Linked DNA regions of Ovis aries. The protein of the gene in region 2 purifies or fractionates together with the protein of the main gene of each other region. This does not show direct contact. Links are inferred from orthologs where the notes say so. Each region holds a gene or a part of one and is shown on either strand. Other genes may lie near its edges.

What was found.
Region 1: the proteins of TRADD (region 2) and BIRC2 purify together in Homo sapiens (affinity purification with western blotting; 3 studies listed by BioGRID and IntAct, with this or other methods). This does not show direct contact. The link is inferred for Ovis aries from reciprocal best matches to the Homo sapiens genes TRADD and BIRC2.
Region 3: the proteins of TRADD (region 2) and CASP8 purify together in Homo sapiens (affinity purification with western blotting; 6 studies listed by BioGRID and IntAct, with this or other methods). This does not show direct contact. The link is inferred for Ovis aries from reciprocal best matches to the Homo sapiens genes TRADD and CASP8.

Annotation. Positions count from the first base shown.
Region 1 is NC_056068.1:6,029,191-6,034,014, forward strand, and holds part of BIRC2 (baculoviral IAP repeat-containing protein 2), read right to left. Parts: intron 799-4,824; coding exon 544-798; intron 1-543. UniProt on the Homo sapiens protein: Multi-functional protein which regulates not only caspases and apoptosis, but also modulates inflammatory signaling and immunity, mitogenic kinase signaling, and cell proliferation, as well as cell invasion and metastasis.
Region 2 is NC_056067.1:34,365,405-34,370,784, reverse strand, and holds the start of TRADD (tumor necrosis factor receptor type 1-associated DEATH domain protein), read left to right. Parts: upstream 1-2,016; 5' UTR 2,017-2,243; intron 2,244-2,338; 5' UTR 2,339-2,838; intron 2,839-5,380. Other genes in the region: FBXL8 (F-box/LRR-repeat protein 8), read right to left, coding at 1-401, 962-1,113. UniProt on the Homo sapiens protein: Adapter molecule for TNFRSF1A/TNFR1 that specifically associates with the cytoplasmic domain of activated TNFRSF1A/TNFR1 mediating its interaction with FADD.
Region 3 is NC_056055.1:203,629,739-203,634,562, forward strand, and holds part of CASP8 (caspase-8), read left to right. Parts: intron 1-1,997; coding exon 1,998-2,103; intron 2,104-3,386; coding exon 3,387-3,525; intron 3,526-3,631; coding exon 3,632-3,682; intron 3,683-4,258; coding exon 4,259-4,344; intron 4,345-4,824. UniProt on the Homo sapiens protein: Thiol protease that plays a key role in programmed cell death by acting as a molecular switch for apoptosis, necroptosis and pyroptosis, and is required to prevent tissue damage during embryonic development and adulthood.

The DNA of each region.
Region 1 (4,824 bases), on a different chromosome or scaffold from region 2:
AACATAATATGGATGAATACCAAAATCAATTCCCTACGATCTTTGGGTTGGGGAGGTGCTTCTTATCAAATCCTAGAATTTCATCATGGATTTTATTTTTTTATAAGGATCACTAAGCTAGGATTAGACAGTAAAATACCATGTTAAAAATATGATTTAAAGGAACTTTAAGAAAATAAGTAGAAATGAGACAGGCCCCCAGCTTTAAAATCTTACTTTTTCTAAACAGTTTAAATCTGTTAATGTAAGAGGAAGAAAGGCAATATAGCTCAAGAAAGAAATTATGACAAAATCCTCTGATTAGCATAAATCAGGGATCTTCTTGGGGAGGAAAAAAAATGTTCAAAAACAAAAAAAACTGTAGTCAGTGATTCTCAACTAAGGTAATACATTGCTCACAGTGAAGGGGATGTGAGGTTTGGAAATGACTGCTGGCTGCCACCAGTTAGTGGAGAGACAGGGATACTCACTGTGCTGCAACACGTGAGACAATCCTATGAGACCTCAGTGGAAATAATCCAGGGGACTAACATTCCCAAATACCTGATGCTGTTTCTTCAGTTTGTCTTTCCTTCTCTTCCTCCTCCTCTTCTTCTCTTTTCTCATCTTCAGCATTGAGAAGTGCTGACACAATATCATTAACTGTTTTGTAATTCTCTCCAGTTGTTAGGATTTTACTCTGAACTGTCCGTTTTACCAGGCTTCTACTAAAGCCCATTTCCAAGGCAGCTTTAACCACAGGTGTATTCATCATGACTGCATCGTCTGAAGAACTTTCTCCAGGTCCAAACTGAACAACTATTTTAAAAGATATATATTTGGGTAAATTCCATAAATATAAAAATATAGGGAACAATAATGACTCTGATATAATCTTTACTTTAGGGGTGATTATATCCTGGTAATGGAGATGAGCTGTATGCACGTTACCTATAACTCCAACCAAAGTCTGAACCTGATAAGGATCAAATGAGAGTGCAGTTACAGGCTGCTCTTATTGTTGTTCAGTTGCTAAGTTGTGTCTGACTCTTCTGTGACCCCATGGACGATAGCCCACCAAGCTCCTCTGCCCATAGGAATTCCCAGGCAAAAATACTGGAGAGGGCTGCCATTTCCTTCTCCAGGGGATATTCCCAACCCAGGGATCGAACCCATGACTCCTGCATTGGCAGGCAGGTTCTTTACCACTGAGCCACCAAGGAAGCCCAGTAACAGGCTGTACTCTAAAAAAATACCAATTCCCACACCTTAGACCTACTTAGTTAAGAGTCTTTAGGGATGGAACATAAGAATATCCTAAAAATTCCTCAAATGACTCCGTTGTACAGAGTTTATTTTTGGAAACTGAGATGCTACACAAATTTAGAAGTGAGAATAATCTCAATTCAGCTAGGAAAGTGGGAGAAATAAACAAAGACTTAATGAAAAAGATCACACAAGAGTCTGAACCTGAAGGATAGACAGGACCTGAAGAGGTGGATATATGAAGCAGAAAAAACAAAGATGGGAAGAACAGTCAAGTGGGAAGAACAGTAAAGTGGAAGACTAATTCATACAGAATACATCTAAAAACGTGATTTTAAAAAATGTGATTAAAGAATTAAAATAATGACTTCAGATAGCAACACATATTCTGAAGAAAATAAAGCAGAATAAGGTGTTAAGACAAACTAGGAAGCAGCAGGAGGACATTCAGGGTGATCAGAGAGGCATTTTCTGATAACAGGGTCTATGCCAGCCAATGTGGCACTTTTGTGAAAATTACAAAAAGACATCATTCTTCAAGATACTTTACTGCCATCTGCTGGAAAACTGTTGTATAATAAACGTAAATATACACTGTGTGTGTGCTCCCTTGCTCAAATGTATGTGGAACCCTGTCTGAATGGGTAACAGCAGAGCAAACAACTCTATGATAAGGAATGAGTGTGAGAATATCTGAAGTCTTTCAGGCAAAGAGAACAGCGAGTATAAAAGCCTCAAGTCAAGAGGAAAGCTTGATATTATTCAAGAAATAGTAAGGCAGTGCAGAGTCAGAGAGCAGGTCAGAGAGTAGGGTGAGGCCTAGATCATGTAAAGCCTTGTGAGGAGTTTATATTTTAAGTCTGCTAGAATATTCTAGGACTGATAAAACCTGATTTGTTTTTTCCAAAAAATGATTCTGGCAGCTCTGTGATAAACTTTAGTGAGGTAAAATGGAATCAGGGAGACCTGTTAGGATTTTATGACAAAAGGTGATAGAAGCTTGAATCAGGTTAACAGTGGTGACGATGAAGAGAAGTGGTAAGATTTGGGACATATTATAAAGATAGAGATGAAAGGACTTTTAATAGCTTAAATATACAAAGTAAAAGGAGGAATCAGGGATGATGTCTAACTTAAGTCAACCTCAGCAAGTGGAGACCATTAACTGAGCAGGGAAGACCAGAGAAGAAGCACATCTGAGGTACGAAGGGCAGGGAGAAAATGTTTGCTCTGGTCCTATAACTCTTGAGAAATCCATTATAAACAAGCAGAGATTTAAACAGGTGGTTGAACATGCTAGTCTGTAGCTCAGGAAATGGAGAACTACCTTTGGGCTGAATGTTGAGGGGCACTCCATCACTTAAGAGGTTTGAAAAAGGAGTACCCACCAAAGGAAATTGTTCATGATCAACCAGGGTAATGGGAAAATCAACAATGTGGTGTCCAGGAAGCCAAGTGAGGACGATACCTTAAGAAGGATACAAGAGAGTAATGATAGCAAGATTGCTAATTAAGATGTCTCCCATCTGGATCCCTACTCAACAACAATTTGGAATCCATCCAAGGACCAAAGTGCCTTTGTGAGAGGCTCTGTGATTGAGATATAAGATTCTGAAAGCCTTGTGTATTCCAAAACCAAGGAGAGCGATTTTGAGAAGACTGGCTTGTACCCAGGTGCTTGAATTCCTGACTATGGTCCCAGCAACAGACCCCAAAACAGCTCTGTATCCATCAAAATTGACAGAAGAAGGGCCTCACCTGGCAAGACCAATCAGTAAAAACTGGAAATGGTGTTTGCTCCCTCAAATGTACAGATACTATGGCCAGGCTACATATAGCATATAAATATATAAATCAGGCACATACAACACCATCAAAAGAAACTAATAAACATCCAGACTGACCTCAAAGAAATGAAGATTTATGATGTCTCACAATGAACTCAACAGTCACCTTAAAGAAACTCAATAAAATTCAAGAGAACGGTAAACAACTAAATGAAATGAAAATAACAATGCATGAACAAAATCTGAAGTTTAAACAAGAAATAGAAACCAAAATCAGAAGTTTAATCAAAAGAAAGAAAAAAGAATCAAACAGAAAACCTGGAGCTGAAGAATAAAAGCACAGAACTAAAAATCAATAGAGAAATTCAACAGACTTGATCATGCAGAAAAAAAGAATGAGAACCCAAACGGAGATCATTTGAAATTAGCCAGTTATAGGAACAAAAAGAGAATAAAAAAGAGTGACGGAAGACCACATGAATTACAGGGCACCACCAAGCAGATGAACATCACAGGAATCCCAGAAGACAGAAAAAAGGGGTAGAAAGTTTACTTCAAGAAATAACAGCTTAAAACTTCAGTTCCCAAATCTTGGGAGAGATACGGATATCCAGAAATAGCAAGTACAGAGAACCCCAAGCAAGATCAGGCCAGAGATTATTCCAAGACACATTATAGTCAAAATATTAAAAATAAAAAGACAAAGCATTTTGAAAGCAGCAAGGAAAAAATGAATTATTACATACAAGGGAACCCCCTAAGGCTATCAGCACATTTCTCTGCAGAAACCTTCCAGGCTAGGAGAGAAAGACTTAATATATCCAAGTGCTAAAAGAAAAACAAATGCCAACCAAGAACACTGGAAAATTAAAAATGAAGGTAGTCTTGTTCAGGCTTCAGAAGTAGGGGAGCATACCTCTAACCGACTTCTAACCTTGCCTGGACTACATGCCTGCCTGCATGCATGAACATCAATCATTACCAGCAAGTCAAGCAGCACTTCAGGTAAGAAAGGGAGTGGGTCTTGGATTTTTTTTTAATGAGTACTTTATGTTTGATTATTTATTTATTCATTTATTTGTTTTTGGTTGCACTGGGTCTGTTTGCTGCACAGGCTTTCTCTAGTTGCAATGTGCAGGTTTCGCACGGGCTCAGTAGCTATAGCATATGGGCTTAACTGCTCTGCAGCATGTGGAATCTTCCCAGACCAGGGATTGAACTGGTGTCCCTGCATTAGCTGGTTGATTCTTAACTACTGGACCACTAGGGAAATCCAGCCTTAGAATTTCTTAAGCCGCGGGAACCTACTCAGGCCCCCAGAGTCTAAAGAACTTTATGACTCACAAGATGAAACAAACAGCATTGTAAAAGTTAAAGAAAAACCTGAACTGCATTTTTGCATGCAAACTGTTATCAGTTTGTGGCCTAGGATCATAAGCAGGACCTCCCAAAGCTGCAATCTGAAGTCTGGCCTGTGTGGTGGATGTACTGACAGGACCCTTTCCCAGTTAGGACTCTAGACTGCTGTTACATGGGACTTCCAGCACTGTTCAATACTAGATTAACGTGGGTATTGGCCCAATGTAGAGATGTATATTGGAGAAGGCAATGGCATCCCACTCCAGTACTCTTGCCTGGAAACTACCATGGATTGAGGAGCCTGGTAGGCTGCAGTCCATGGGGTTGCTGAGTCAGACACGACTGAGTGACTTCACTTTCACTTTTCACTTTCATGCATTGGACAAGGAAACGGCAACCCACTCCAGTGTTCTTGCCTGGAGAATCCCAGGGA
Region 2 (5,380 bases):
CGAGCACGGACCCCGGCCCTACGCTGCCCACCAGCGTTCTGTTATCCAGAAAAAGGCTGCGGAGCTCCGGACAACCGTGTGCCACCTGCAGCACCAGCGCGTCGTCCAGTGAGAAGGGCAGGCGCCGCAGGTCGAGGTGGCGCAGCGCACCGGCCGCCCCACAGAGGGCGTGCACCGCGTCCAGGACGTCGCGGCCGGCGTCGAAGAGCGGCTTTTCTCCGCGGCATTCCAGGCACAGGCCTCGCAGCCCGGGGGTACGGCCCGCCAGTGCAGCCAGTAAGTCTGTGGCCGCCCGGCGACTCGACTTTCTCGACGGCTCAAATTCCAGCCATAGATTCTGAACGTGGTCAAGGCAGGCGGACAGATACGGCGGCAGCATGCCTTCCAGCTCACAATCGCAACTTGGGGGTAGAGTGGTGGAGAAAAGGCATGGCCGGCCAAGTCCCTCTCTCTGGGTTCCGGTTACCATCCCCACTTACTGCCCCCTACCCACACACCTCCCTGTTCCGACCGTGCCTGGTCACTCCTAGGTATGCTAGGAGGGAACCCTATCCCTTCCTTCAGACGCATCTGCCGCCAGTTGAAACCGTGCCAGAGAGAGCCAGGATATTTTAGAAAATGGGCTTTCTCATTGGTCTTTCAGGAGGCGGGGCGGGGCCTGTGGGCAGCCGCATTCACGTTCTGCCTGTCATTTCTCAATAGAGTGAGGAAGTAGTTAAATCTCTCTGCCTCAAATTTTATCTGTGCGATGGAGATAATAATAATACCCGTACATCACATAAAGTGTTTGTGAGGATTAGAAAGATTGGTATATGTAAGGCCCTTAGAACAATGGTTGGTACACAGTAGGTGGCCAATGTTAGAAATGACGCTTTTTAATATGAGGAAGAGTCACTGCATCTCCCCAACCTCTGACTCTACCAAGACTGGGAGAAGGTGGGAGGGGGAAGAACCTGCTCACCTGATGCTCGTGTCGTGCCACACAGCGCTGCAGGTGGCAGCGGCAGCCCAAGCTCTGCAGACCCTCGCTGCAGCAGCGCGGTCAGGCAGGGGCAGGTGGCGGAAGATGAGCACCAGCACCTCCTCCGGCAGCTGTTCTCCGGGCTCGGCCATGGCCAGGTGGGGGCCCCCCTGCAGGAAGGCCACAGTATTGAGGGGAACACCTGGAGCCTATGTGTAGAAATGCTTGGGGCCCAGGATCCGCTACATAAATTTGCAGAGCCCAGTGCAAAATGAAAATGTGGGTCTCTCTGTTTAAAATATTATCGAGGATTTCAAGACCGTGACAGCAGAGATGTAACCAAGCTATTAAACCAAGCCTGGGACTGTGTACACAGATCTCAGACCCATTAAATCTGCCTGGGATGCTGAGCATTTCTGATTCTTCCTTTAAACTATGTTCTCACTTGTTGAACAAATCCACGTTTTATAATATTCTATTAGGAGGAACTCAACCACGATCCACGCACCAGGTTGATAAAACCAAATACCCGGATTTGGGACGATGCTGTCAGATCTTTCTCCTAGTAACCAGTCTTCTCTGAGGAAGTTGGAGGGCCATTGCCCAGGCCCTGACTCCAGACCACCACGTCTTCCCCAACCCCTCGTCCCAGTCTCCCTCTAAAGCACCATCACGGCGGCCAGAGAGCCCGGACTAGTCTTACAGAGATCGCTGAACTGCTTGCCTCCCAACTTAGACCCTGAGTACTTAGGGAACGATGGAGCCCAAGCACCAAGGGCCATTGAAATGGCTTCTAAAAGGGCGCTGGACATTTGTTCACACTACAGATTTCATGGCCCCACCTACTAAATCAAGCTCTCCTCAAACAGTAGGGCCCAGGAATATGAATTTCAACACGTGCAGGTGTATGCCACAGGTCCCAAGTTGAGAAACCCGGTCCTAGTCCCACCCGTCACTAGAGAGTGACGGCAGGGTTAATAGGGCGGGAACATTAAGGAAAACTTTTAATTGGCAGGGTGCAGGAGCCAATCAGGAAGCAGAGGTGCGGGTGGGGCATAGCTGAATACGCAAGGAGAAGGGAGGCTCCTTCCTCCACTTCACTGGGGGAGACAACATGGATTCTTCCAATGAGAGGCCAGCGAGGCAGAGAAAATCTTGGGGTTGTGAGGGCCTGAGGGACTCTGGATTCAAATTCCGATCCTGAACCCCGAGCAGCCCAGGCGGTTTAGGCTCCACTGGAATTCCGCAGACCCACATCAGAGCGCGGCCTTTGTTGGAGACTGTGCGTCCTTTTTGAAGTTGCCAATTTTAGTTTAAGGTGCTTAAAGGTTTTCGTACAGAACGTTTGACGCCACTGGCCAATTTTCTATTTTCTAGGCTAACTGTCCCTGCTGGAATTTGTGTCTCGAGTACCGGGAGTTTCTGATACCCTCCGCCACGCTTGAACTTAGCACCCAGTTCAGAGTGTCAGGTAGAATCAGAGGAGCTCGACCAACCCAGAAGGGGACGCCCCCTCGTTGCTCCATCCGTTACCCGCTGGAGGAAGAGGATCGGCTCTCACCCTAGGGCCCTCCGGCCTCGTAAGAACCGCGAGTCCTCGAAGTCCCTTGCCGCGGGCAGTTCTGCCTGCTGTTTGACCTCAGGCGCCAGTGTCTTACCTGCGCAGCGGATCGGGTGGGCTTTGCCCAGAGGCTGGGTACTGGCCGCAGAGGACGGTGGCGGGAAGGAACCGCGGGGAACCCGGGGGGCGGGACGCCGGGACGGACGGGGCGGCTCGGACTGGGGTGCCGCCCCTGCGCTCCGCGCACACCCGGAAGCAGCGCGAGTCCAGTGGAAGCCGGCGGGCGTGGGAATCCAGGCCGGGCCCAGGCGGCCAGGTTAGTGCAGAGGGTGGGTGGGCTTTCCGTTGCGGGCAGGAGCCGAGGCGGATCCTGGCTCAGGAGCACGGGCGCGGTGCGGTTGTCACCCGCGGCTGCTCGGGTCAGGTGGTGGTGGTGGTGGCCTATTGGGCTGTTTCCGTTGGAGGCTGGAGCGAGGGTACCGACGCTGACCCCTGCGAGTGCCTTGTCCCATAGGGGCTTTCAAGGGGCGGCAGGGCCCTGTGGGTGAGAGGACGGGGTGGTGCTGGTTCTGAACAGACATTCGAGAGAAACCCCTTGCCGGTTAGAGCCAGTAGCAAGCGCGAAACTCCAGCAGGAGGGTGGGCTAGTGGGAGGCCGGAGAGCTCCCCTCTAGAGCTCTGAGAGGCTCTGCTTGAGTAGATGCTGGGACTAGCAGCTTTTCAATCCTTGAGAGGCCACGCCTGCAGGTCGTCACCGCCTAGCCGGCCAGAAGCGGAGCTACTCAGGACAGTTACTGTTCAGTCGCTAAGTCGTGTCCAACTCTTTGCGACCCCGTGGATTGTAGCACGCCAGGCTTCCCTGTCCTTCACCATCTCTCAGAGTTTCCTCAAACTCATGTCCACTGAGTCAGTGATGCCATCCAACCATCTCATCTTCTATCAGTGTTAATGGAGCGCTGCGCCGGCTGGCTACCGATGGCAGGGGCATATTTTCCTGAGTCGGTACCCATGTGTCCCTTACGATCTCAGCCCAACTAAGGGTTCCCAGGACCCCAGCGAGCCCCGCTGGTAGAGAGGCGGACTCCAGGTGGGTGGGGCGCGGGGCTTCCCGAGGAGGGGCTTCTGTGAAGGGACACAGTTCTCAAGGGGGCTTAGCGAGCCAAGGCCCGCCTCTCACCCCGCCCCACCCCTGCCACTTCTCAACAGTTATCAGGCTGTTTGACTTCTACAGTCCTAGAGAGTATGACAGAGATTCCCCCTCCTCTTGGTTTGCAGTGTCCTGCAGGCTGGCCAGTTGGGCAGAGGACTGTCTTGTCCTGCCCTTACTTACCCACCCTATGGGGTCAGCACCCTCCAGTCAAGGGGCTAAACAGATGCGAAAGAGAAAATGTTTTGGGGCCAGGTTCCCACTTCTCCACTCTGGGCCAATACCCCAGGACTTCCCACTTGTCTCTCTACTGCTCTTGGTCCCACTTGTCATCTACCCTGTTTTTGTTTTGTTTTGCTTTTTAAGAAAAACAAATATGCCTTTTTAATACAAAAGAAATGTCTCTATTTTGCATAAAGTAGAATATTTAAATGAAAATAAAAACAACCCCAATCTCCCCCTTCCCCAAGACAAATAAACAATGCTAATTTTTTTGTTAATTTCTATTGTTTTGGATAAACACACAAGTATTAGTAAGTTTTCTACCAAAAGATTATGGGGGGAGCTGGTCAAAAGATATGTTCCCTGTGCTCAAACTCAGGGTAGGGTTATCAGGTATCATTCTTCCTGCCAGGTCTGGGTGAAAGTGGAGGGCGCCATTTCTCTTTTCCTTTATTACTATTTTTTTAAATTTGCCAGCTGTACCTCACAGCTTGAGGGATCTTAGTTCCCTGACCAGGGATTGAACCCAGGCCCTTGGCAGTGAAAGCACCGAGTCCTAACCACCGGACCACCAGGGAATTCCCTTGAACCCATTTTTCTAGGAAGAGGGTATAATGTTGCCTCGGGTAAGGTCTGAAGGAAGAGGCAGGGCAGTTCTCCACCTGTCGCTCATAGTGCTGTAGCTGGGAGGCAACTTTCAGGCCAGTGCCATGGCTCCCTGACTGAGAGTTTTGCTCCTTGATCTAGAGCTAGGATTTTGTTGAAGATAGATTGAGGAGATGCTAATGCCAAGGGCCCTGACTGTGTTTAGACAGAGAAGGAGCCTGTATCAGAACAACTTGAACGGCATCAGACAAGAGACTAAAAGACTTGAGACTAAAAAGGAATGATTTAATTCACATAACAGAAAAGTCCAAGATGCACCTAGAGCCACGGACATGGTGTGGTTAGGGGTACACTTCTTCATCTCTTGGCTCTGTAGCTTTCTATGCCAGTTTCATTTTCAGTCAGGCTGAGAACAGCAAAGGAGACCTTCCCTTCCTTCTAGCTCAGCTTAAAGATAGGAAAGGGAAACTTGTTCCTCTTTCCTATTGGGTTAGTTGCTAAGTCGTGTGTGACAGTCCACAGACTAGCCACCAGGCTCCTTCCATGGGATTCTCCAGGCATGAATACTGGAGTGGGTTGCCATTTCCTTCTCCAGGGGATCTTCCCAACTCAGGGATTGAACCCAGGTCTCCTGCATTGAAGGCAGACACTTTACTGACTGAGCCACCAGGGAAGCCCAAATTGCAGGTTGATTCTGATAGGTCCAATAGGAATCCTATGCCCAACCCAGAACAAACCATTTCAGGAAGGTGAATGGAAGATCCAGATTGGCTAGGCTGGACGTCAGGAGCAAGGTTGGTCCTTCCAACAGGCCTGTGGATTGAGAAAAGGGTAGAGGGAAGTCCCCAGAGGTCAGTCAGGACTGTGGTAGAGAATCTAGGCA
Region 3 (4,824 bases), on a different chromosome or scaffold from region 2:
AGGATCGAACCTGTGTCTCTTATGTCTCCTGTATTGGCAGGCGGGTCCTTTACCACTAGCACCACCTGGGAAGCCACTGAAACTCAAATAGCCATGCTTTAAGCATTCTAATTCTCCTTTCTGTTACATGTCTGTTATCTTGATGCCTCTGCTTTGCTGATGTTCATACCATGCACTCAACTTTGCCTATTATTAAATAAAGCATTGCAGCTCCCCACTCGAGAACCCCTCCCATCTACTTGTGGATGACTATGAAATTCTCCACAGGGTTTTAGGCTTTTATTATACACTTTAAGGCTTGTGTTACTAAGTTCTTCAGTGAGGTGTGTGCTGCCAGTCATTCTGGATTGGCCAGGCTGGACCCCCACAATAATTGTGTGTGTTTTTTTTTTTAATGGTATAAGATAACCATTTAAAAAAAAAAATGTTCATCTATTAACTTACTAACGGTTGTGCTGGGTGTGTCTTCAGTTCTGCGCCTGGGCTTTCTCTAGTTGTGGCGAGTAGGGGTCACTCTGTCTTGCAGTGCACGGACTTCTCATTGTGGTAGCTTCTCTTTTGTGGAATGCCAGCTCTAGGCATGTGGGCTTCAGTTGTTGCAAGACTCTGGCTTGGTTGTTTCACTGCACATGCTTAGTTGCTCCACAGCAAGTGGAATCTTCCCCAGCCAGGTATAGAACTCGTGCTCCCTGCATTGGCAGGTGGATTCTTACCCACTGTTCCACCAGAGAAGTCTTAAGATAATCATTTCTAATCTATCCCTGGCCATACAGTGGAAACACCCGCTGTAATAACCAATCATCCTAAAGGTTAAACAGCTTCCACAATTTCACTTCATAAGCCAGTCTGCAATACCCAATGACTGCTTAATCCCCATGACTCCAGATACTGTCAGAAGAACGGCACTGGCTTGGGCTGTCTGTCCTGCCAAAGGCTTAACACAGTAGAGAAATCATTTTTCTAATTGTTCTGGAGCCTATGGGCCTGAACTTGAGGTGTTAACATGACGGGTTCCCTTTTGGAGGCTCTAAGGGAGAAAGTTCCCTCTTCTTTTAAAGACACCAACCATCGGGTTAGGACCACCTTAAGCCAGTCTACAGATGGACAAGGTAATGAGGGTATGAGGGGCCCAAATTCAAAGGGTGAGGGGCTGGGCAACTGGGTATGTTCGGAGAGGAATGGGGAGATGGTGGTAAGGCATGGCCAGAGATGAAGAGGCAGACTAGGCTCAGTTCACAAAAGCCTGTGTTCCAAGAGGAGGTGTTTGGCCTTCCTATTGAAGGGAGTGGCTGGGAGAACACTGACTAGTTTTAATTGAATAATTAAAACTGATGTGTGTTTTGAAAAGAATAATATCCAAAATCAAAGCTTTTCTTTCTTTCTGTGCAACAAGATCTTAATCCTATAGCGAAGGACAAGGGAAAAACACAATTCACTCAACTGATATTAACTGAAAGTTAAAATTGGGGAACTTTTAAAATTTTTAATTAAAAATTAAAAATATTTATTTAGTTATTTTGGCTGTGCTGGGTCTTCATTGCTGCACACAGGCTTTCTCTAGTTGCAGAGAGCACAGGCTACTCTTCGTTATGGTACACTGAACCTGGGGCTTGTGGGCTTCAGTAGTTGCAACTCTTGGGCCCTAGAGCATGGGCTAAGTAATCGTGGCACACAGACTTAGTTACCCTGCAGCATGTGGGATCTTCCTGGACCAGAGATTGAACCTGTGTCCCCTGCATGAGCAGGTGGATTCTTAACCACTAAACCACCAAGGAAGTCCCTGGGGAATTTAAATTCCATTAAGAGTGGGACAGTTGAGCTTGAGCCATGAGTCTTCAGTGTCACAACACGAGCCTCTTTCCAAGGACTCAGCTCATAAATCGTGTCATTAGCTGGTTTTATTTTAAAGGGAGGCCAGAGGACCAAGTCCACGTGACTCCATATATCAGATGGGAAATAATTGAAGAAAGTTAGAGTGTTTCTGTTTCCCCCTATAGGATCCTGCTTTTCCAGATTTCAGAAGATGTGAACAAAGTGGAATTGAAGGACTTTAAGTTTTTTTTGAGCCAGGAGATTGCCAAATGTAAGCTGGATGATGACATGGTAAGACCTGGTGTCTCACCCGAGGTGTAGCCCTGACGGTGAGTCAGCTGGTGGGGATTTCTGAGACTAAAGAGAGCTCTTGTCAGTAAAAGCAACCGGAATTCTCACTTTTTAACCAAGGGAGAAGAATGCTGTCTGGAATGAATGCTGTAGATATGATGCCTTTGTATAATATAAGGTGCTGCTCACATTAATTATCAGGGACAAGACAGAGTGAGGAACAAAGGCTGGTTGTGGGAGCCCAGGTCAGTGTGGGGGCCTGCAGAGCCAGGAGAGCCACTGGTGGGCCTGAGACCATTTCCCCACTTCTGCAGTCTCTGAAAAACCTGGGACCTGGAACTCTGTGTGTGTGTGTGTGTGTGTGTGTGTGTGTGTGTGTGTGTGTTATGGTGTCTGTACGTATGTGTGTCTGTACTGTGATGTAACGCTGTATGTGTGGGTCTGTGTGTGTGTGGTATGGCATGTCTATATGTATGTGTGTCTGTGCTGCGATGTAATGCTGTATGTGTGTGTGTGTGTCTGTGTGTGTGTATGGTATGGTGTGTCTGTACGTATGTGTGTCTGTGCTGTGGTGTAATGCTGTATGTGTGTGTGTTTGTGTGTGTGTGTGTGTGTGTGTGTATGGTATGGTGTGTCTGTACGTATGTGTGTCTGTGCTGTGGTGTAATGCTGTATGTGTGTGTGTTTGTGTGTGTATGTGTGTATGGTATGGTGTGTCTGTACGTATGTGTGTCTGTGCTGTGGTGTAATGCTGTATGTGTGTGTGTTTGTGTGTGTGTGTGTGTGTGTATATGGTATGGTGTGTCTGTACGTATGTGTGTCTGTGCTGTGGTGTAATGCTGTATGTGTGTGTGTTTGTCTGTGTGTGCGTGTTGCAGTGCACTGGTCACTGAGCTGTTGTTGAGGACCCTCAACAGCCTGGAGGTGCGTGGGTGCCAGAGGCAATGTAGGGTGTGAGGCCGTTCCCAGGGCTGTTGCCATGTGCCTGGGCTGCTTCACTGTCTTCACATAAAAGTGTCCATAGATGGTTGGGCCTGGGGACTGGGTGACATCTGAGGTGACTTCTTCTCTGTCTTATTTCTGTCTTTTTGGGCCAGAAAACATGAATTCCCTCCCTGATAGTTTATTGATTGACTTTATAAGACCAGGATGTCCACTTAAGAGGATCAGCTTGGGAAGCTAGGTGGGTGTCTAATTTGGAGGAAGTGGAAATTAAAAAAAAAATAATCTAAAAGTCAGTAAAACTCCATCCTGTTTTCTAACTTGATTTCTCCTCCCTCTAGACTTTGCTTGATATTTTCGTGGAGATGGAGAAGAGGACCATCCTAGGGGAAAATAACTTGGACACCCTGAAAAGAATCTGTGAGCAGGTCAACAAGAGCTTGCTGAAGAAAATCTATGATTATGAAGAATTAAGAAAAGGTATAAATAACCTGAGAGCTGTGAATCAGCAAAATGTAGTCTTAAATTGACAGGTGCTTCTATGTCACAACTGTTTCTAATCAAATATGTGTATGTTTCTTTTAAGATTCAGAGAGAATAATGAGACTTGAAAGAGATCCAGATGAATTTTCAAATGGTAATACTTGCAGATATGTTTTCAAGGTCTATTTAGTTAATTTACTTCCCAGGTGGCTCTAGTGGTAAATAAGCCACCTGCCAATGGAGGAGATGCAAGAGTTGTGGGTTCAATGTCTGGGTCGGGAAGAACCCACGGAGAAGGAAATGGCAACCCACTCGAGTATTCTTACCTGGAAAACCCCATGGACCGAGGAGCCTGGCAGGCTACAGTCCACAGGGTCTCAAAGAGTCAGACAATGACTAAACTACAAGCCTCATTGTCTCCTCTCTACAACCTTTACCACATCTGCATCTTAATGGACCTGCTCTCCTAATAGCGGTGACTACTAGTCACCTTCTCTGCACATGGGAAGATGTAAAAGGAATTGTCAAAAGGCAGAGACCCTGTAACCTCAGGCTGGCAAGTTTGAAATACAGGCAGAATGAGTCAGCAGTAAGATTTTCCCTTATTCTGTGGACTGCAGTATATTATGTTCAAGGCAGTCAGTGAATTTACATTTTAAAAGGGACCTTATGTTGTCCTGGGTGCCACCTCTTTCTTAACCAATATCTTCCCTGTCACATTTCATTCCAGATATGTCACAATCGCTTCCAGAGGAGGGCTCCTCTGAGATGCTGGCCATGTCAGACTCTCCAGGAGAACAGGGCAGTGAGTTGCAGGTACCAGGAAATCCCCATTTCTTTCCCTTTTGTGCTGCAGATTCTAGTTACTGTGTTCCTGAGCTTTTTTTTTTTTTTTTCAAATAAACTAATAAGGGACAGAAACTTAATGAAGTGTTGAGAACTATAGAAAAATTCCACAAAAGCACAAGTTTAAAATGTGACTTTGGAATTTGGTAAAGGTGATCTTCTTTGGTTTCCCGTGTGTTAAATGTCTAGTTTAAAACCAAAGATGTTGGAAGAGTTGGAGGACAGAGGAGTAGGGAGCCTCTAACCTGATCCCTTTAGCAGCTGCCTCAGCCTAAATGGGAGGGGGCTTTTGGGGGGAAAGTTGAGCAGGACTGGAAGAAGCAAAGTCTTCGTTTAGCTTGGTATTTCAGAACTGTTTCTCCTTTGTGATTAGGCGTTAAGCAGCAAATGTTCACAATCTAGTCATCTCTATGTTCTCCTCCCATTGAGCAGGCCCAAGAATTGCCTTTC